Elephas maximus indicus: one gene and its partners. The protein of the gene in region 2 purifies or fractionates together with the protein of the main gene of each other region. This does not show direct contact. Links are inferred from orthologs where the notes say so. Each region holds a gene or a part of one and is shown on either strand. Other genes may lie near its edges.

Evidence for each region.
Region 1: the proteins of ZNF219 (region 2) and CDK2AP1 purify together in Homo sapiens (affinity purification with mass spectrometry; 3 studies listed by BioGRID and IntAct, counting the BioPlex papers as one, with this or other methods). This does not show direct contact. The link is inferred for Elephas maximus indicus from reciprocal best matches to the Homo sapiens genes ZNF219 and CDK2AP1.
Region 3: the proteins of ZNF219 (region 2) and CHD3 purify together in Homo sapiens (affinity purification with mass spectrometry; 3 studies listed by BioGRID and IntAct, counting the BioPlex papers as one, with this or other methods). This does not show direct contact. The link is inferred for Elephas maximus indicus from reciprocal best matches to the Homo sapiens genes ZNF219 and CHD3.

What each region holds. Positions count from the first base shown.
Region 1 is NC_064840.1:6,984,447-6,991,614, forward strand, and holds the start of CDK2AP1 (cyclin-dependent kinase 2-associated protein 1), read left to right. Parts: upstream 1-4,158; 5' UTR 4,159-4,175; coding exon 4,176-4,284; intron 4,285-7,168. UniProt on the Homo sapiens protein: Inhibitor of cyclin-dependent kinase CDK2. Also acts as a component of the histone deacetylase NuRD complex which participates in the remodeling of chromatin.
Region 2 is NC_064828.1:31,442,052-31,448,882, reverse strand, and holds the start of ZNF219 (zinc finger protein 219), read left to right. Parts: upstream 1-3,816; 5' UTR 3,817-4,007; intron 4,008-4,437; exon of another isoform or gene 4,438-4,496; intron 4,497-4,955; exon of another isoform or gene 4,956-5,431; intron 5,432-6,757; exon of another isoform or gene 6,758-6,831. Other genes in the region: TMEM253 (transmembrane protein 253), read right to left, coding at 231-377, 496-606, 904-960, 1,046-1,156, 1,541-1,648. UniProt on the Homo sapiens protein: Transcriptional regulator. Recognizes and binds 2 copies of the core DNA sequence motif 5'-GGGGG-3'. Binds to the HMGN1 promoter and may repress HMGN1 expression. Regulates SNCA expression in primary cortical neurons.
Region 3 is NC_064837.1:12,893,076-12,900,651, reverse strand, and holds the start of CHD3 (chromodomain-helicase-DNA-binding protein 3), read left to right. Parts: upstream 1-4,566; 5' UTR 4,567-4,581; coding exon 4,582-4,852; intron 4,853-4,931; exon of another isoform or gene 4,932-5,057; intron 5,058-7,576.

The DNA of each region.
Region 1 (7,168 bases), on a different chromosome or scaffold from region 2:
AACCTTGAAAACATGCTGGGTGAAAGCCATTCACAAAAGGCCACATATTATATGATTCCATTGGTATGAAATATCTAGAATGGGCAAACCCATGGAGACAAAGTAGATCAATGATTGCATAGGGCTGGGGGAAGGGAGGATCAGGAGTGACTGCTAACCAATGCAGAGTTTCTTTTTGGGGTGATGAGAATGAAAGGGGCAATGGTTGCCCAATTGTGAATATACTAAAAAACACTGGACTGTACACTTCCAAATGGTGAATTTCATGCTATGTGGATTATATCAATTAAAAAAAAAAAAGGAAAAATATTTGTTGAATTATGGCCAGGATCTAAAGTGAGGGACTATGCATTGTGGTCAAAATACAACAACAACTCAAGTGAATACCCCAGAGTTTTGTAGAAGGTACAGGGCAGGCTGCTGAGAGCTGCTTTCTTGCCCTCAAGGAAACAGAGGCCAAGTCAAACAGCTAAAAGGTGGTACGGCCAGCACTAGTACCCACGTCTCTCTGCCTTGTGAGCCCTCTGCTTGTAGCTTCTAGCCCTGCTCTGTCCAACATGGAGGCACAAACCATTGTAGCTACTGAGCGCTGGAAACAAGGCTAGCCTGAATTAAGATGTGCTGTAAGTGTAAAATTTTGTAGACTAAGTACAATTAAAAAAAAAAAAATCTTAATTATTTCCTTATATTGATTACATGTTGAAATCACACTATTTTGGATATTGGGTTACATAAAATATGTCGTTAAAAAATAATTTCCCCAGGTTTGTACTTTCTAAAACATGACTACCACAAAATTTAAAATTATATATGTGGCTGGCATAATATTTCTGTGGGACAGTAGCGTGTACTCTGGAGTACTGGTCCCTGGGGACAGTACAGAAGGGGGTGACTGTAAGTTATTCATGGAATAAAATTTCACTTAGCAACCTTTGGTGGGCTAGCCTACAGCTGATCACAGGATGCTTTTTTTTTTTTTTATGTATTACTATAACATACCTAAACCAAACCCACTGCCATCGAGTCAATTCCAACTCATGTCAACCCTACAGGACAGAGTGGAACTGCCCCATAGGGTTTCCAAGGAGCAGCTGGTGGATTTGAACTGCCAACCTTCTGGTTAGCAGCTGAGCTCTTAACCACTGTGCCGCCAGGGCTCCATAACATAACATACCTAGGCAATCCTTTATTGTTGGATACTTACGTAGCTTTCTTTTTTCTTCTTTGAACATGTTGTCAGGGACAGCCTCATCAGTTAGGAATTGCACTCAGGTAAAAACCTGGTTACAGTGGCTTAAACACATAGGGTTATTCTCTTCTGTAAAGGAACTCCAGATGTGGGCAGCTCTATGAAGTCTCTACTTTTCTACTCCACCATCTTTAGCGCATGTCTTCCATCCTCAGGGTTATAAGATGGCTGCTAGAGTTCCAAATGTTATGACAGAATTTCCACGCAAGAAGCAGAAGTAACGCCAAATTGATTGTTTCAAATGTTACTAAATAGATTGGGTGCCATTTGTTAATAGCCAAACACAAAGTTTAGTAAAACCTTTCTAATTATTCGTTGGTTCTATTTAAAAAAACCATCTCTACAGGCGAGGCGGTTCTGACTCATAGCAACCCTATAGGACAGAGTAGAGCCACCCCCACAGGGTATCCAAGGAGTAGCTGGTGCATTCGAACTGCCGACCTGACCTTTTGGTTTGCAGCTGAGCTCTTAATCACTGTACCACAGGGCTCCAGTTCTGTCTTACCAAACCAAAAAAACAGACCCACTGCTGTTCAATGTCCAGCCTGGACATGGCGACCCCACTTGTCTTGCCAGTGGGTTCTAAAAAAAATCCACTTTGTGATAGACCAAATTTTACCCTCGACGTATAAGCAGTAAGTAGTATCTCGGCACCAACAACATGTAAACCACCAACAGTCAATCCCAATGGGAAAAAGAAGACATACCACTTCCATTGCTTATGGCAGCATTCAATAGGGTGTACAGAAGATAATCAAAAAGTGGGTTGAGTTGAATTGATGTCACTCCAGATGAAGGAAAATCTAATTTATGTCCAGAAAGGAATAATAATCAGTTGCCATTGAGTCAATTCCAACTCATGGTGCCCCTCGTATGTCAGAGTAGAACTGTTACACTTAGGATTTTCAATGGCAGATTTTTCAGAAGTAGACCGTAAAGCCTTTCTTCTGAGGCGCGTCTGGGTAGACTCAAAGCTCCAGCCTTTTGGTTAGCAGCCTATGGCAGTAACTGTTTGCACCAGCCCCTCGGGACTCCAGAAAAGGAATGAAGCAGGCACCATTCTGTTGCCCTATTTCTAGATGGCCTTCCATGATTTCCACTATGAAATAGGTGCTGTCTTGACCTCTACTCCCCACTAGGATGTGTGCTCCATGGACTAGTTGGGTTTGGTTACTGTGACGTTTTCCAAGAGTACTCCTTGGGTGCTGGTTTCGGGGCAAGGGTGTCACCTGCACCATTAGTCGTAGAGGGAGGGAAGAAGGGAAAGACTGGGTGGGTATCCCTTCTTTCTTCGGTGGAGAGGTCACTGAGATCCAGCAATGACGTCTAAATGTGAGTTACTAAACCAGCAAACCAAGGCAAGAAAAAAAGTGCGCCTCCTGTTTATTTTGGAAAGCTTTACTATGTAGCCAAAATCCAAGAAATAGCCCCCCCCAAAGGTGATTCATCAAATCCGAAATGCATTTTATGATTATGTCTCTGATCAGAGAATGGGCTTGGGTGGGGTCGGAGGAGGGTGGAAATTTGTGAGTAGAAACTTCGCCAAGGTCATTCTTGGCTCCCTAGTGCCTAGGAAGGTGCCTGCCATAGAGCTGGTGCTGCTTAAATATTTGGATGCGTTAGTATTCAAAATTAGGTGGATGCCAGGGTGAACTGTCCCGAGGAGAAGGCCTTTGGCGTTTGTCAGAGCCTTAAGGAGTCATAGGCCCCCACAAAAAGGTTAAAAACCACCTAATACACAGACAAGAAGTTTATTTAAAATCAGTGTCAAGAACTGGTTATTCTCATCATGGGTAAGAGCCAGCACTCGGTATCTGGAAAGATCTCCGTGCTTAAAAGCCCCAGTCGCCACCATTTTCTCCAGGTAATTTTCCATCCCTGCCCCCACAGCCAAAAAAAAAAAAGGGGGGGGGGGAGAAGTCATTCTTAAATTCTACCTAGCTATTAAAAAAAAAAAAAATTAAGCGGTAGATTAACGTCCTCCCCTCCCCGCGTCGCCGGAAACGAAGGCAGAAGAAAGGGGCCTCGCGCGACCGGCCGCCCCCAGCCCCCCGCCCCCCAAACTTTGCCAAGTTGCGGCGCCGGGCGCCGGGCGCGCGCGGAGGCGCGGGGCGCGGCCGGCGGGCGGAGCCCTGACGCCGGGGGCGCGGGCGCTGGGCCGCCCCCTCCCGGCCCGGGCCACCGCCGGCTCCGCACAAAGTTTGCGGCCGCCCCTGCGCCCGCCGATGTATGGGTGATCGACTGCGGCGGGCGGCAGGGTGAGGGACGGCCATATTTGCCGGTGCGCCCGCGCGTCCACAACAAAAAGTGCGCGGGAGCCCGGCGGGCGGACGGACGGGCGCACGGCCCCGCCGCGGAGCCGCCTCGCCGCCCCCGGCCCGCCGCCCCGGCGCGGCCCCCGTGGGGGGATGTCGTACAAGCCGAACTTGAACGCGCACATGCCCGCCGCCGCCCTCAACGCGGGTGAGTGAGCGCCCGGTCGCGCGCCGCGCCAAGTGCCGCCAAGTTGGGCCCCGCGCGCCCGGCCGGCCAGGGGCTCCCGGGGGCCTCGCGGCGTGGCCGGGGCGCCGGGCACCGGGTCCGGCCCGTGGCAGAGCCGCCGCCGCCGCCGCCATGATTCCGGCGCCGCGCGCCAAACTTCGCCGCGTGCCTCGTTCCCCCCGGGCCTGCTCGTGGCCGGGCCGGGGGTCGGGGCGCTGGCAGCCGCGGAGCCCCCACGCCGCGGCCGGGGGATCCGGGGACGGAGCGTGCGGGCCGGGAGGGAGGGAGGCTTTTCTTGCTCCTTTTTCCTCCGGCGGCTTTTGGGCGGCTCGGCGAGGGCCCCTGCCGGCGGGAGGCGGCAGCGCGCGGGCGCCGCGGGGCGCGGGCGCCTGGGGCGCGGGGCAGGCCCGTGGGGGGCGCCAGGCTGCGGGGCTTCACCCGGGCAATGCTGGGCCCAGGCGGGAACGCCGGGTTTGCCAGGCTGCGGCCGCCCCTGGGGGCGCGGGGCCGGGTAGACGGGCCCGGAGGCACTGGCCTGGCCGGGGACTTAAAGGGTAAAGGGGGTCCGGCCTGGCGCGCGGAAACGGGGGGCGCCCAGAACGGGACTTGCGGGAGACCACCTCTTGCGCGCGCAGAGTCAAAGTAGTTGGGGAAGACCCGCGGCTTCTGGGTGTCTTGGGCGGTGGGTGAGGGCGGCATTTCAGGGGCCCAGATCTCGGAGCCCCTAAGTCTGTCATGGAAGGCCCCCCTTCTGCAGAAATCGGGAGGTACGCATCTCCCCTCCCTGGAGGGCAGGGGGTCTCGGAAACTCTTCCAGAAGTTATCAGGCAACCTTCCTTAGGCTGTGCCCAGGGGGTGGGGTACCTGGGAGACCGAGGGCGCCGTCGGGGAGGGGAGGTAAAATTGTTGGGGTTGTGGGGTGATTGGCTTTGTCTCCTCACCAGGGACCTTTAGACACTTGATTGGAAGCATGCGTCCAAAAAAGCGGGGCGCCTTGGTTGGGGGAGAGGGCCAAGGGCCTTGCCCTGGGGTGGGGGGGGAGGGTTGGCTCTGCTCGCCAATATGCCAAGCTGGCAGCTTGCCCCGAGTTTCCGGCCTGGCCTCCAGACGTTGACTCCATAACTACAAAAATTCTAAAGGGACCTATAAGATTTAAAGAAAACAAAAAAACTTCTTGGACACTGAGGTTTTGGGGTTGGGAAAGGGTTAAGATTAAGGTTGCAGATTGGGGTGATCTGAATTGCTCAGATGTGGGCTGTGAGCCGCCGAGAGCAAACAGCCCCCGTTTTCTCACATGCCCTCACCTCCCGTGGGTCCGCAGGCCTTCCTGAGACAGGCTTTGTTGCCTAGGTAGGATGTCTTCTGCTTCCATCTCTCTGGGGGTGGGCAGGGCGGAGGGTGGTGCCAGCCTGGACAGGCGGGAATTCTCAGGCTGCCCTGGTGTAGTTGAGGCAGGGGCCCCACACTGGGGTCCTGAGGGATTGGGGTCACTGAGGGTAACAGGGACACCCACTGAGGACCCCTGCAGCCCTGTTCGGGACTAGCTGGCACCTGTAAACAGTCTTTCTTCTATCTCCTATGGTGCATTCCAAGAGGAGTGCTGTCCCCAAATCGCTGTTTTCTTTTGGGGGGCCTACATGCCCCCTGCGGACCCCTTTGCAAAAAGCCCTGTCTCCCCATTTGCATCCAAGATGGACTCTCCGCGCCCCTCCTCCCGGCTTCCCTGTCATCATCCCTCACGCCCTGCAGCCCAGCCTCCTGCTCGTGGGTGGGTTGCCAAGCCGTGGCCTGGCCGGCGGTGGCGGAGTTAGACAAAGCCCCCACGTCCCCGCTGGAGAGGCCCCCCCTCCCCGGGGCGCCCCGAGAGGCGGGAAGGCCGCCAGCTCCCCAGGCCCGGGCCGGCTCTTTGTCTGGCGTGGGGGCGGGGAGCTCCGGCCCCAGGAGCTTCCTGGCCTCCTGCTCCTGCACACTGGCTCATTGTCTGATGCTCCTCCGCGGAGGGAGACGCTGCGCTGACGTGGAGTCTGCTTCTCTTGGTGGCCTCCCTCCGCCGACCCAATGGCCCTCCCTGTGTCTGCGGGAAGGAGTGGCCAGGAGAGGAACTCGGGGGCCCTTTCTCCAACTCTTTCCAGGGCCAGAGACACCCCCTCCAGCACTGAAGAAGGGACTGACAGTGGCATAGGATGGGGGTCACACACTATGCTGCTGGGGTGACAGGACAGTCAAGCCCTGAGCTACTGCCTGACTGCCCCACTCCCACCAAAATGGGGCAGTTTCTCACTCCTACTCCCTTTCCCCTTGGCCCCCAAGACCTGACTCCAGTGCCATCAAACAGCAGGGTCTAGAGCCTTTAGTTGTTCTACTGGAAACCATTGCCTCAAATAGCTGGGGAAACTGAGGCCCAGAGAGGGAAGGATGTTGTCTAAGGTCACACAGCCAGGAGTGGCCCTTGCCCATAGGAGAGAAGACAGGGCAGGGGGAGAAAAGACAAGGAGGTGGGGTGGAGCAGAGGCCACAGGGAGGTTCCGGATCTCCTCCTGCCTGGAGCTAGTGTCTTCTAGAGGCCTTGAAGAGTTGGGCCACTCACTCTCCCCAGGTTAGCACTTAGCATCCATACCTTCCTGAGCCCAGGGAGGGACCATAACTTGTGTGGGGCAGGATTAGAACTCAGGTCTGGGTGCACAAAGCCTGTGTTTCCCAAGCCATACTCACCACCCCCTGCCTTCCAGTCCCCTGGAAGGCTCAGGAAGTTGGGGCTTAGCTGATGTGGTGGGGGGGGCGGGGCTGGAGGGGGCACTGGCCCTGTCCCAGGCTGGGCTCTGGCCACTGAACACCTGCCCTTGCCTTGGAGTGCTTCCCTGATGTGAGTAGCACTTACAGGTGTGTTGTCATCCCTACCTTGTAGACAGGGAAACTGAGGCTCCAAGCAGCCCAATAATTGGCCCTTGACCAGCTTGGGGGTGGCACAGTCGGGATTCAAATCACGTTTCTGGGTGGCCTCCCAAGCTTCAGCATAAACATGGGACTGAGTAGGGGCAGCTGGGCAGGCCTGGGACCTGAGAGGGTATCAAGTGCAGAGCTGCTCCAGACTCCTGGACAGGAAGGTGGGCATCAGTGGAGCTTCTGTGCTGCGTCACCGGGGCGGTCTCTGGCCCAGATCTGTGTCTCCCTCCCTCTACCGTGAGGGTCCCTGATCCAGGGTTCCCAGGGGCCCCTTCCCGCTCCCTGTGCCTGAGCTCCTGAAGTTACTTCCGCCCGGCCCCTCCCCTTGCCCATCCCAGTCGAGCAGCTGGTCGCTTTGGCCGGCCTTGGCACCAGCTGTCCATCCCGGGGCCAGGTCTGTGAGGCTGCTGTGTGTGTGAGAGGGACCGTTTGGCTCTAGGGGTGGCGGGAGGGGAGCTGCTCCCCATGGGGCGTGGAGTCAGGCAGGCGGGCGGC
Region 2 (6,831 bases):
CTTCCTAATGTTCCTCCCCCGTTCTAGTCCCAACTAAATTCTCTCTTACCCACTATTAGGGGAGAAATGTCCAGAGCCAGAAAGCCAGTCAGTTTCAATCTAGGACCCGTTGATGTTCCTCCTGCCTCTTTGTTTTCCCTTAAGTACTACTGATTGGATAGACAGTGAGAAAGTGAGCTGGTAGCCCCTCCTGTGCATCCTGTGCTTGCCTCCCTGCTGGCTCCCCGTACCTCCTGCAGCTCCTCATAGTGCAGACTCTGGCTCCTGCAGCATCCTGGCTTCCTCTGGCTCAACAGGAATAGGGCATATGCTGAGACCAGCACTCCCCCTAGGGTGAAGGCCTCAGCGCTGAGCTCCAGCACCAGCAAGCCGGCTAGCTGCAGCAGATAGATAGGGCTGAGGATATTGCAGGGGACCCAGCACATGTTTGCCCCTACCCTCTTCCCTCTCCATCTCCTCTTGCCTCATCCTCCCACCTTCTTCATTCAACCATACCTGGGAGGGGGCAGTTGGGGCAGGTGCCAAGGCTGTCTTCATCACCTCCACCACCACCACAATGAAGGCCAAGATCAGGTTGAAGATATTCAATATCATCATGGCCCGCACCTGCCAGTGAGCCAGCTCAGCCCTGTGTAGCCCAGGGGACTCACTCCAACCCCAAGTCCCACCTGCAGTCAGCTGAAATCAAAACTCTGTTCCTGCATCTCCACCACCAAATAAGGCTGTCAGCCCTTTAACTTTCTTGCTGTCTCTCCTCAGGCCTTTATGTCAGTCAGGGACAGCACAGCCTACAGGATTAGTCAACACTTACAGAGCCACTTACTTCCTGGGCTCAGGGGTATGTGTGTGGTGTGTTTGTGTGGGGGAAAAGGGAGACAGTACTGCGTTCTCTTCCCCTCTCACCTTCCAGAGGCGAGGTGCTCTGCGCAGCTCAAGGGTGACAGTCCCAGAGAGGAGACCCTGAATGGTGAGAAGGGCAAGGGTTGAGCTCTGGCCCTATTAAGGAGCCCCTGTTTCTTCCATGCTCCCTTGAGGTGGGTCTCACCGAGGCTGCAGGCCCAAGGGGCAGCGCTGTGGCCATGTGACAAGCAGAGTTCAAGCAGGCGACAGAGACAGCAAAGGGCACCACAGCCATTGCCAGCCAGAGCTGGCTCACCTGGGGGCCAGGGGCACGGTAGTTGAGGGGGAGCCTTCAGGGATTCCCCTCTCTCCTCACAACCTCTGCCTCTTCCAGAGATTAGGAATTGGGATGAATGGATGGTTGGAGAGGGTATTCAACCAAGGGATTGAAGGAAGGGGGTATCACTTAATTTTTCTGCCTCATGTCATAGTTACTTACCTATATATTTTCCCCACATGATGGAAGCTGTTTGGAGATTAAGGATCTTGCCTGTTTTATCTCTGTGTTTCCTCCTCCCTCCTCCCACTCAGAGCCTAGCAAATCTTCTGGCATATGGTAGGGTCTTACTGAACATGGGTGGAATTGAACTGGGATACAGGTGGGCATATGGGAGCCTGGGGTGGGGCAGCCTGGCCTCACCGCCAGCACCAAGATGTGCCCACTCTGCTTGTGCCTCGCCCAGTGCCGTAGCTTTTCCAGATGAATGCTGGATCTCTCCCACTTTTGCTGACCCGCTCTCTCCTCCATGGCTCCTTTGACTACTGGAACTGGGTGCTTCCTAGGCTGGGAAAAATGAGTTATGGGGCCTGTCTATCAGGAGGCAGGACACTCAGCAATGTCTCCTTCAGCTGCCCCCCTACCTGCTTTCAGTATCCAGGGGGTTCAGGCCCGGGGCCTCACACCTACCTAGTATGAAGTAGCTTCTCTGAAGGGATGGGACCCAGCAGGGGCCTGAGGCTCCCGCAGGGGCCTGAGGCTCCCAGAGGGGCCTGGTAGCTCAGAGCATACGACACACTTGCTCTGGCAAGACAGGTTGTCAGGGCTGGGGTGTGGTGGGGCAAAGGTCCCTATGAGGGCCAAAGGATCCAGGGAGTGGCCCTGGTTGGTGCCAGCCTCAGTTCATTCCACAAAATACCCATCCCTGCCTCTTGCTCTTTCCATTTTCTGTTGCCCCCACCTCCCCCCACCCTGGGTTCCTCTTCTGATCGCTAGCCTCATCCTGATGGACACCATCACCCTGGGCCCTAATTTCCCCCCATTTCTATCCTTCCTCCTCAAATTACTTGCTCTTCTCTAGGGAAATCCCACATTACTGTCTGGATTGGTCCCTGTCATTACCACTTGCAGCTTTGTCCCCAGACCAGGTAAGATTTAAATCTCTGGCCTCCTGCCTCTCACTTTCGGGACTGCTTCTCCACCTTCCCATTTCGAAGGATTTGCTCTGCATCAGAAACCAACTAAGTGGATGGAGAAACCTGTTTATGGCTGTGATTGTTTCTGGCTCAGTGATAACTTGCATCTAGAGATGTATAGAGGATGGACCCAAAATGGTTAGTCTTGGGAAAGACACTATTGCAGTAATTAGTATTTTTGAGAGCTAGAAGGTGCCTTGCAAAGAGACAGATCTGAACTAGAATCCAGCTCTGCTAGTATGCCTGCTATGTGACCTTGGATAAATTATTATCCAAGAATTATTATTCTACCTATTTAAACCTTTCACAGATAAAAGGGGACTAATAATATGTGTGAAGAGTTGTTTACTAAGGGCTGGTGCTTAATAACTGTTAGTGGTACTGATGAGGTCATCCTGATGAGCCTGATGCCCGTATACTAAAGGGCTTATTCAGAAGTTGAGATGGAGCCATTTATTTCTACAGAAAGGAGCAGAGCCAAAAAAAAAAAAAAAAAAAAAAAAAAACCCAACCCAAACTCATTGCCATCGAGTCAATTCTGAGTCATAGTGACCTTATAGCTGGGCCCAAATATACACTCTATAGATCAAAGATAGGAAAGGCTGTCTTGGTCTGCAGGCAACCAGTCCTATGTTCAAATACCAGATCTACGTGGGTGTCCTTGGGCAAGTTACTTCATCTCTCTGTTTCCTTGTTTATTAAGGGCAGTTAATACCAATCTCAAAGAGTTGTCTTGAGTATTAAAAGAGAAAATTCATATGAACCAGCTCAGCCCAGCACCTGGCATGTAAGAGCTTAATAATGTTAGTAGCTATTATCATCATCATTATTTCTTATTATTGATAGTAGAAGAAAACTGAGCCAGAATACCTCTGGGAGTTACTACTGGGAGGCGAGTGGCCTTCTTTGTAAGCCACTTCTGCCCTGCTCAGTGCCGGGCCAAGCCTCACTGGAACATTGTACCCACTCTTTCCTTTTCTGGGGAGTGGGAATTCCATTTTAAAAGGATCCAGAAAACTGCTGTGTCTACGTCTTCCTCCTCGATTTTCATGGGCATTAATTTTATTTGGTGGCGATGGCCTGCCAGAATGTGAGACATTCGTCTTGCTCTGAGGATTCCTGGGCTTGCAGACCAGTGACTGGCTGGGGAAAGAGACTCCTTGAGCCTCATTTTCCTTACATTTAAATGGCGACTAGTTATATTTCAGAGGGTTATTGTAAGGATTATATGCTATTAACTATGTGAAGAGGCACTCAATAAATATCGATTAAATCTGAGTATGCTATTTATAAGATCGTAGCCCCTGTCTGGACTACAAGCTCCTGGAGGAAGGAGACCACAATGCCCCTTATCTGTGCATCCCCCACAGCGCTGAGCATAGTGCCTGGTACTTAGTAAGAACTCAGTAAATATTTGTTGTATTGAAGAGCCATTAAAGTGACTTAAGGAATGGAAAATAGAACTCAAGAGGAAGGAGCTGGAATTGTTTATCAAGAACAGAAAGGACCGAAGAGTAACTTTAATAATGTTTCTTATACGGCAGACATTAACTATCTCTCTAATCGCCCCTCCTCCTCCCCCAAAAGAGAGACAGAAAATATAAGGGAGAGGCTTTGAGATAAAACCCCAGGAAGAACTTCCCGAGTCTGTGCATGTTGGGGCAGAAAGAGCGGCAGAGCCAACTCCTTGCCTGGTATGTCCGGGTTTAGGGTGGGAGGGGCAGTCCAGCTTGGAGGCTGGGGGAAGGACGAGATGACCTTTCAAAATCTCTTCCACTCTCCTGTTCCAATCGTCTGTGCGCCCCACCCCCGCTCCCTCCCTTCCTCTCTCCGACAGCGCCCCCCATCCCCAAACTGCCCGCACCCCGCCCCTGGCGGCCGCCTCTCGCGGCTCCCGGGGTCCCCAGCTCCCGCTCCCGCTCCCGCGCGGCTCCCAGCCCCGCCGCGCCGCCCCCCGCATGCTAATGGCCGGGCCGCCTCCCGCCGCACACAATGCGGGCCAGGGCCGGGGGCGGGGGACCGGGGAGGGGGCGGGGGCCGGGCCGGGGGCGGGGGGGCCGGGGCCCGGCGCATCTCCCCCGGCCCCACGTAACGCTGACGCCCGCGCCGCCGGCCCGCCGCCCGCCGCCGCCGCCGCCGCCGCCGCCGCCGCCGCCCGCTCCACCGCCGCCCGCCCGGGGCTCGTGAGTAGCCGCTCCCCCCACTCCTGGCCCCCCCCAGCCATCCAGCCCCCGCCCCCGGCCCCCTCCCCCCCACCCGGAGGGGGGGGCCGCTCTGCGCGCCCGGCTCGGAGCAGGTGCAGGGGGCGGGGGCGGGGGAGGGGCGCCGGCTCGGCCCCAAGCAAACTTCGCCCAGAGCTCCTGGGGGGGCGCGGTGGGGGCGGCTGCCTCAGAAGCCTGAAGACCTGGGGGTGGGGGGCCCCAGGGAGGTGGGGGCCAGGTGGGGGAGCTGGGAGAGCGGACACCGAAGGGGAAGGGCCAGCAGAAGGGAGGGGGGTGGGCGCCTTTGTAGGGGCCGGGAGGGAGGGCGCGAGGGGCCTGGGGGCGCTGGGCAGCTGATCCGGGAGGCAGAGTGGATGAGGGTCCCCCGGCCCAGGTAGGGCTGGTGGGGGAGGGGGGAGGCCCAAACTCTCCAGGAGCAGGGGTTGGGGGAGGGGAGAGGATGAGGAGTGCTTCCCTCTCTGCGTCCCAAACAAAGTGTCACAAAGAGCTCGGCCCGCGGCAGCAGCGGAGGCGGCTGTAACTCAGCTTTTGTTCTCCCGGCCAGGGGTAGCTGAGCCCTGGCCTCCTAATACCCCAACCCTGCCCCCCGTCATCCTTCTGGCTTATCCTCCCCGGGAATGGTCTGGGGTGCTGCTGGAAGAACCCCTTGTGCCCGGATCACAGGTCCTACCGTACTTGCCAACCTCCTTCTGGGAGGGGGATTTTCCCAGTCTCTCCTGCTTACCCCCAGTCATAGGTGCCAAGACTGTGACCTCGCTAGGGTTAGCTTCAGTTAAGGGGACTTAGGGCTGGCTACATGCCCCTTCCCTTAAATCCAAGTTCTCTAGAACTTTCAGAAGAGGGGTCAAGTTGGGACATGCCTCTGGGATAGGATTCACCATGGTGGGTGGCAGCAGGTGAGCAGGTGTACCTTCCTCTTTTCCTCCTTCTGTACGTTTGCAGTCTGTGATAGATCCCCTGCCTCCAACTCAAGACAGTGAGGATGGGGGAAGGAGGCTTCACCAAGAATCAGTGTGAAGGGTGGGCAAGTTGTGGGGTGGGTTGGGTTTGGAGAAACTATCTGAGCAGTGAGGTTCAGAGGGCAATGGAGAACATAAATAAAACTGATAAAACTGAACTATTGGCATGTCTGTGTGATGAAGGTGGTCTTGACTCTAGACCACCTAAGAAGCCCCATTCCCTTATAACCCCATCTATTGCAGTCTTAAGTCATCATTGTTCCTAAAGCTGACTTGGGAGGTGGGATTCTCTACAGAGGGAAAGCATCAAGCATTAGAGATGATCAGAAACAGGCCAGAAACAACTAGGCCCCTGAAGTCCTGAACCCTCACCCCTTACACTCTGACCCTGAAACCATTTGAGCCACATATCTTGAAGGACAATTTCATCCTCCAGTTAGCAGATGCTTCTATGTATTTGTCCCTGCTGTTTCTGAGAGTCTTCTCACCAACCCTTCCATTCTTCCCTACTCAGTAAGGTTTGATGGTCCACACCCCACCGCCTCCCTTACCAGATTGCCTAGCACATAAAAATTTGTAAACTGGCCTTTTGTTTTGGAAAGATTTCTGATCCCTATCCCTGGCCCTGCATTCCTATAGAACCCAAATAAGGGCAAGATAACCCCTAATTCTGGGTGGGGTGGAAAGTAGGTCAGTGCTCTGTCTGGTGAATTCTTGTGGATGGTGTTTAAGGCCTGACCAGGAGAATCTGTGACAGTTGCCCACAGACAATACACGCATGACCTAGGTTCCAGGCCATTTCAAAGAATCCCAGGCCCTGTCAGTGCTTTCTCCTATAGAGAAAAACCCATGGAATCTGGCACCGGGGAACAGGTGCGGAAATGATCCAGGAGATCTTGACTGGGCCTATGAGGGCCTTTTAGTGGGTTCTGTTAGTTTTAGGTCACCATCTGGGGAAACTTTCCCTGCTGAGGAATAATTCAGCTTCATTTTGGGCGTTCCTGTATATCACTATATTTTCACCCTGGAAACTGTTCATAGCCAGTTTTTTGTTTTTGTTTTGTTTTTGACTGGGGAGGGGGGGAGCTTTGCCCTGTTCTTACTCTTCTAGCCTTTGATGAAAGGCCAGCTTCCCATAAGGTATTTTGCATGCTATCTTACCGGCAGTTTTAGGGGCCCAAGAATCTTCTCGGAATCAGAGTATGTGCCCATAGGTTAGTCAGCTATGACCATGCAGTATTCCCAGCCTCACTACCCCCCCCACCCCCCCAACTGCCATCTGCTTCTTCTGAATATACCAGATTGGCTGTACACCAGGATGTTCCGGGAATCCCCAG
Region 3 (7,576 bases), on a different chromosome or scaffold from region 2:
GGCAGTTGAAAAAGCAGAAATGAAACAACAGTGCATTGTGTGTAGCAGTTTTATCATTATTTCTCTGGAAGAGATCTGGATAGAGACTGTGTCTTTGTTTGCCCCAAAGAGTTGTAAAATCTCTAAGGTGGGATTTAAGAGGAGCCAAAAGGAAGGGTGAAAAAGGAGACAAGTTGTAGTAAGCAGCAAAAGTTTTTAAACTAGGAGGAAGACAAACTTCTTCCGCAGGCCTACGTCAACAACCTAAAAGGATCTAGATTCATATGCCTTTAAAGAATTCATATAGACTAAGCGGGAAAAGAAGGATAGGCCTCTGTCTACCCTATGTATGTGTGATAGATCAGCTTAGAAACTATCTGTACTTACTAACTATAGCTATGTCTGACAGCGCTCTCACATTTTTTCTCAATTAATACATACCTCAATGATGAAGAGACCAACAAGGGTGTAAGACAACTGTCTAAGAGGAATAGACTAGATTAGGAGAGAACAAGCCCTTCCTAAGTTCTTCTCAGATACTGGTATTAAAAGCATGAAACCAGCAACTAAAAATCAAAACCAAACCCACTGCCACAGAGATAATTCCAACTCATGGTGACCCCCACATGTTATAGAGTAGAAACTGCTCCATAGGATTTTCTTGGCTGTAGCCTTTATGGCAGCAGATTGCCAAGCCTTTCTTCTGTGGCACTGCTGGGTGGATCTGAACCACCAACCTTTAGGTTAATAGTTGAGTATAAACCATTTGCACTAGAAACTAGAATTCTACTAAAGTAGAATAAAAAAAGACAAGAGGCAAGAGATGGCAGTCCCCCTAAAGTAGGAAGGGATACTGACTGACAGAGGAATAAGCATGCCACTAAACTGGGAGGAGTACAGTGAAAAGCAAGTAAACTTGTGTGTTTGTGTGTATATTTTTCACTGGAAAAATGTCCATGAGATGTGAAATAGTGGCTGCCTCTGGGGAGAGGAACTGGAGGACTGAGGGAAAGGGATAGATGGGAGTCTTACTTTTCACAGTAAAGCTTTTATACTTTAAAAATTTTGTACCATGTGTATATACTACCTATTCAAACACTGACTAGAAAAACAAAGAAGAAAAAAGAAAAGCAAGCAGGATGTGGACAGCAAGAGCCAGCCAGGCAAAGGGTAAAAGGCAGGAAGACAGTGAAGATCCTAGGAGAATGGTGAAAAGACTGAGGCAGGCAGGCTAACTGCCTGGGTAGCCAAAAAGACAGACAGAAAGAGACAACTGAGAATGAAGGCAGGTGCTGAGAGAAGGCACGGTAGTGTACATGGCAAGAACACAGATAAAGAGTTTGGGGCCAGGGAGGAGAGACCATTACCATTGGTGGGGTGTTGGCATAGAGGGAACCAAGAGAGAAACAGCTGGTTAAGTGGAAAGTCTAAAAGACACAGGTATTAAACAGTGGGATACTAGCAGGCAAGTAGACAGACATAAAAGGGAGGTAAGGAAAAATCATGAACATAGCAAGTATAAATAAAAGAAGTGAATAGACAAAAAAGTAAGATAAGAGGCAAATGGAGATAGGGAACCATGGCAGGGCCTGGAAGGTAGATAAACCAAAAGAAGCAGGCTAAAAAAGTGATAGAGACAGGGAAGTGAGGAGACAGATGGCTAGAGAGAGTGTGGTGGGCAAACAGCCAGAGAAGCAGACAGACAACCAGAGAGAGAGAAAGAGGCTGCCAGCCAGTCAGGGAGGAGCAGACAGGCAGGCAGGCACCATGATAGGAGCAAGCAGGTAGAGAAGCAGATGGAAACCAGGATAGAAGAAGAAAAATCAAGAGGTCAATAGGAAGCAAGAACAGGAGAGAATACAGACTTGCAGAGCGGGGGAAGGACAGGGGAGAGAGAATCAGGCAAATTAACAGATCTGTATACAATGCCCACTCAAGGGACAGCAGGACTAATGTTTGTACAGAGATGCACACAGCCACCCAAAACCCATCTTTAGTCACCCACACCTGCAGATCATGGCACATGTGGCAAGCAGGCAGAGACACTCACCAAGGAGGGAGAGGGTCACAGAGCCAGAAAGGCTGCGATGCACATGATGCGCAGCGTGGCCCACACACACACGTGGAGACGTTCTTCCCAGACACAGTATGATCCACAGACTATCCATGAGGTAGGGCAGAAAGAGGAGAAAGCCAGGCACACGTGAGGAAGAGGCATACAAAGAGACCAGAAAACAGAAGGAAACAGAAGACAGAGATGGAAAGTCACTTAGAGGTGACAGAGCCTGAGAGTCCAAGGGATGAGAAACGGTCTTAGTGAAAAATAAAGACGTACATACAGAGAAGCCCATATACAGAAAGAGAGGGAAACCCAGATAGACTAGAACAGAGACTGAGAGAGAGGACAGAAGAACAAAATCTGGTAGAAGAATAGGAATTGGACTCAGTACAGGAATGATATGAAAGAAGCAAGAGAATTCCAAAGCTCATATTAAGAAAGGGATAGCAACTAATGCTCAATAAAGTGTGTTGGGGGTGGAACAAAGAATATTTTAGCCTCTTAAAAATTTGTGTATTATTCTCCATCACTAATACCTTCTGGTTGCTGCCTACCCGTCCCTCCCTCTTAGGTTGCTCCTGAGCACTGCAGAGGCTGAAGGGCTAGCAGCTCTACTTAACAGGTAGAAAAATAATCCAGAGAGAAATGATTCCACAGGCTTGGGGTGGAAGCAAGGAGCTAAGTGAAATCAAAAGGATGGGAGAAAACAAGAGTAAGAAAAAAGTGACAAGAATGAATAAGGGAAGAACTGAGCTATTTACCCTCCTTCTTTGCTAGCACTGCTTGTTGGTAGAAAAGGTACAAGTGTTCCACCTCCAACTGGCAAGTCTTGTTTTTTGTGTAGACCTTTCTGGTCAAGTCCCTGGAGGAGGACGCTACTTTTGGATTCCTTTCCAACCTTCCATCTGATTACTGGAACCATTTTATGATAAACACTGGAGTACAGGTGGAAATCATATGTTAGAAAGTCAGATGAAAACACCTGAATGTGACCCCCTACCTCTTTCTCTCAGTCCCAGTTACTTTTCTCTTTCACAGCACCTCAGTTTCATCCACTTTGTCAGTGTTGGAGATCGTGGAGGAAGGAAATGTACTGAAATGGGAGAAAAGAGAAAATAATTTCACAATCGTCAGACTTGACTCTTTCCCCTTTATTCTAAAAATCTGTTCTATTTACCCCAAATTAATTTCCTAAGTCAGATGAATTTTATATTCAATTAATGGCAGGGAGGGGGGAAAGGGGAAAAGAGTGAAGATAAAATTTACAGCAATTATAAATCACCGAAAAGGCTGGGCGAAAGGGAGAATCAAACATGGACTCCTTTGAAAAAAAACTCAATCATCATATCTATTCATATCTCTCTCCCAAAAGTCACTAGAATTTCTATCACTTTTTTTAAAGAAAGAAAAAAATTCAGTACCACTTCTCGCTTAAAAGATACGTACACGATTAAATGCATTCTGACTTCAATGAGGTATGCAGAAACAGATTTATATATAAACATATATTTCATCTTTTCCTTTTCAATGCCTGAAGGGGAAAAAAACCCTTCACATCAAACCACTCCCTTCTGAAGTATTCAGAAAAAAAAAAAAAAAAGCTTTTCTTTAGAGAAGGGAGGTGGGGAGGAAGAGACTAGTAAAGAAAAGAAAAAAAAATTAAATCTGGTTGGACTAGTATTTAACTAGTTAACCTTTAACAATTTATGCTGATGTCAGACTGAGCATGACTACTGATTAATGCCCCCCCTCAAATATTTTTTATAAGGGGTGAGTTAGTCACAGCAGCCATTTTTGTTTTATGCAGAAATCCTTCATGCCCCCCCAAAACACACACACACACACACATACACACAGTTCAGTACACAAGGAAAATATCTCTATTAATCTGTGCACTAATCAGTTATGAAAAAAGGGAGAAATTTCTGGGTTTCTGGGTAAAAGCTTGGAGATGGGGGTGTAACAGGGAGGAGAATGGGGGGGTGAAAAATGAAATATTAAGCCAGCCATTTTGTTTTAAAAGGGGATTTTTCCCCCTCTCCCTTTCTTCATGGAGGGGGTGGCGGTCCTGGAGGGGGGGTTGTTTTAAAAATAATTTCAAGGCGGCCATCTTAGTGCCTCAGCTCTGAGAAATATTTCTGAGCGCCCCCCTCAGAATTTAAATATATTTAAGGCAACGGAGAGGGGGGTAGAGAGAAGTCGAAAACTTTTATATATATATATATATATATAATTTTTTTTAATCCCCCTTTCTTGTTCTCTTGGGAGGAGAGAGGCAAAAAAGTCTCTCCTCTCCTGAAAATTTTCCAAGAAAATTTTTGGGGTGGTTTGGCCCCCCTCCTCAGACGGCGGCCCCGAGGGTGGGGGTTTTAGAGGGGGGTGGCCCGGGGGTTTTGGGGGCTGGGGGAGGCGGTGAGGAGGAGGACGCCGCCGCCGAGGAGGAGGAGGAGGAGGAGGAGGAGGAGGAGGTGGTGGTGGTGGTAGCGGTGGGGGAGGCGGGCGGGCGGTGGGTGGGGGGGTGGTGGGGGGGCCAGAGCCACAGGATGGCTTCCCCTCTGAGGGACGAAGAGGAGGAGGAGGAGGAGATGGTGGTGTCGGAGGAGGAAGAAGAGGAAGAAGAAGAGGGCGACGAGGAGGAGGAGGAGGTGGAGGCGGCCGACGAGGACGATGAGGAGTACGACGACGAGAGAGTACTCGGGCGCGGGCCGGACCACGACCGGGGCCGCGACCGCCACAACCCCCCCGGCTGCCACCTCTTCCCGCCGCCGCCGCCACCGCCGCCGCTGCCCCCGCCGCCGCCGCCCCCGCCTCCAGGTAAGCGGCCGCTTCGACCTCCCCCAGCCCCCAGCGGGAGCCGCGGGCGCGAGAGGCCGAGCGGGGGCGAGACACCCACCGCGCGGCCGAGGCGAGGTGAATCCGGGGCGCGGGGCGCCGTCTCGGGCCGATCGCCCCGCGGCGGTCCGACCGGGCGATCCGGGCGGCGGCGGGGCCAGGCCTCCTCCCCTCCCCCGCCGCACCCCTCCCCCGTCGCCGCCGCCGCCGCTGCCGCCGTCGCCCGGGCTGGAGAGCGCTGGGAGCGAGCTGCGCGCGCGGACCGGGCCACTTGGTCGCGGCTTTCGGGGGAGGAGGAGGAGGAGATTTTTTTTTTACCCTCGGCGGGGAGGGGGTAGGCAGGAAACGGCCGAGGCGAAGCCAGGGCCCCCTCCCTGGCCGAGCGAGGGACCGCGGAGACCCTGGCGGCCGGACGGCGGCGTGGGGGGGAGGGGCGCGTGGGGGAGGGGCGGCCGCGCGGGCGCCCCTCGGGCTTCGGCCCCGGTGGGGCTGGACTGAGGGAAAACTGGGTTTTCGCGAGTGGTGTTCTTAAGTCTCCCTCCCCTGAGGAGTTGGGAAGGCAGGGGGGATAATGGCGCCCATTGGACCCCCCCCCGAGTTGCGGAGACTTTTGTGTCCGCTTAGGGGCGTGCAGTGGCACGTGGGGAGGGGTCGTGGGCTATTCGTGGGCGGCTGAGGACTAGGGGCAGGTGGTGGCCACACTCCAAGCAGAACACTTCCCGGAATCAGACTTGATCCTTCCCCCCCTCCCCGCAACTTGTACTGGGGGGGCGGCGCCACTGAAGACTGGGGAGCGAGAACAGAGTGCAGGGGGAAACCGAAGTCCTCCCCCCAACTCCTCCCCCTTTGTCACTCCCCTGCCCTGGGCTCTTTTGTGTCAAGTGCGCCCCCCCATGACCCAGTCAGTCTGGGGTGGCCGAGCTGCCCAGCTGTGACTCTCACGTGGCTGCCGTTCCCTGTCACTCACTCTTCAGCTCAAACCGCCCGCACCCAGACCACGTTGGGGGGCGTGAACTGCCCACTCAGCTGTTCTGCAGCTTGACCATCACTCAGAACCTCTCCCTCGGGCTGACGAGTCACCCGGCACTTCTGGGTTGCTCCACCAGCCGTGGAGGGGACACACCGCTGCCTCGCTTCGGGCGCCCCGCCGGTGGGCCCACAAAGACCATCTTCTAGTTGGTTTATTTCTAGTCTTTTTATAGGATAGGTGAGCGAGGGCAGTGCTCACACTGCCTGCTTGGGAATTGAAAGGGGGGACATCCACACCCCCAGACCTCTGGGTGCCATGCAGCACAAATGCACCCAACTTCAAATTTTCTAACATCATTCTCTTCGTAAAACTGCCGTATTGATCTTTGTGCCATATGTGGCAAACTTTTCTGTCTTGCTGAGGCAACCTTTGAAGGAGGGAGTGTGGGGAGCTTTCTAAATTTGGGGGGGGGGTTGTGTCTAAGGGGAAAGAAAATAGTCTTTTTTTTTTTTTTTGCCTAGGCTTGTCTGAAAAAAGGAAAAGTTTTTTTTTTTTTAATGTTATTCTAGAGCCCCCACTGATTTTGCATGAGGGAAAGGAATAAAGAATTGGGGTAGGGGTTGCTTGGAAAACAGCAGAGGTGCTAAATAAAGGGAAAGAAAGGATGACAGGTTTAGTTAAGAAATTGGCAACTCTCACCTACTTGTATTCTGAATTTGGGTTGTGGTATTTGGGAGGTTTTGAACTCGGATATGGGTACGTGAGAGAGAGGAGCAGGAAGAATCTTAGGTTGAGGTGGGTCTTTGTGTCGATATTCCCTCCCCCTCTCCCTCTTTGCTTTCTGAATAGATATGTCAAATGCTTTTAAATTTTTATTTGAAATGAAAACCCGCCTCCCCTCTCTCCCAGGGCAATTTTATCTCCCTTTCAGCCCTCCAAGTCAAATGAGTGACCCAGATACACCCCCTCAGATGACTTTCTGAGGTAAAACTTTGAGAAAATATTTTTAGTCTGCTAATTATTTCTGTTTAAGTGTGGGGAAAATAATCCTCCTCTCAGGAAATTTGTTCAAGTTGTCCTCCCTCACCCTTTTCTAGAATATGAATTTTAGATATTAGAGGCTTGTATTGTTTTTCATTCTGACCGCTTTGGTTCTCACCATTTTGTTTTACATTCTTACCCAAGACCGATTTTATCCCTTCCCCCTCTTCTCCAGTCTCCTTACATTGTTAAACGTTTAAAATAATAGCACTCGTGTTGATGGGGGAAGGGAGCAGGAAGCCAAAAACTCGTTTCTTCTCCCTCCCCCTTCTGGTAAGTCTGGAGAAATAATATAACATAATATATAGATGTGATTCCTCGGAGGTGGGGGTGGGGAATGATTGTGGGTGGTGCGGAAAATTCTGGTAGTTTCTTTGCAAAAGGCCTGAAAATACAAACCCACCCCCTGCATGCAATACGCATGTGCAACAGACCTATTATGGTGGTTCGTTGTGGGGGAGGGAGGGGAATTTGAGAAAAAATAAATATATGTGTGAGAGATTGATGGTAGATTAGAAGAAGAGGGGGCGGGCGGGAGGCGAGGCTTTCCCAGAGACTCCGCCTCCTTTCTCTGACTGCCAGGCTCCGCCCCCCGCTCCTCGCCCGCCCCCCTCCCGCCCCGTCTTCCCCAGATCCGAGCCGGAGATGTGGGAGAGTCTGGGCTCCAGGCCAGCATTGAGTGGCTGGTGAGACAG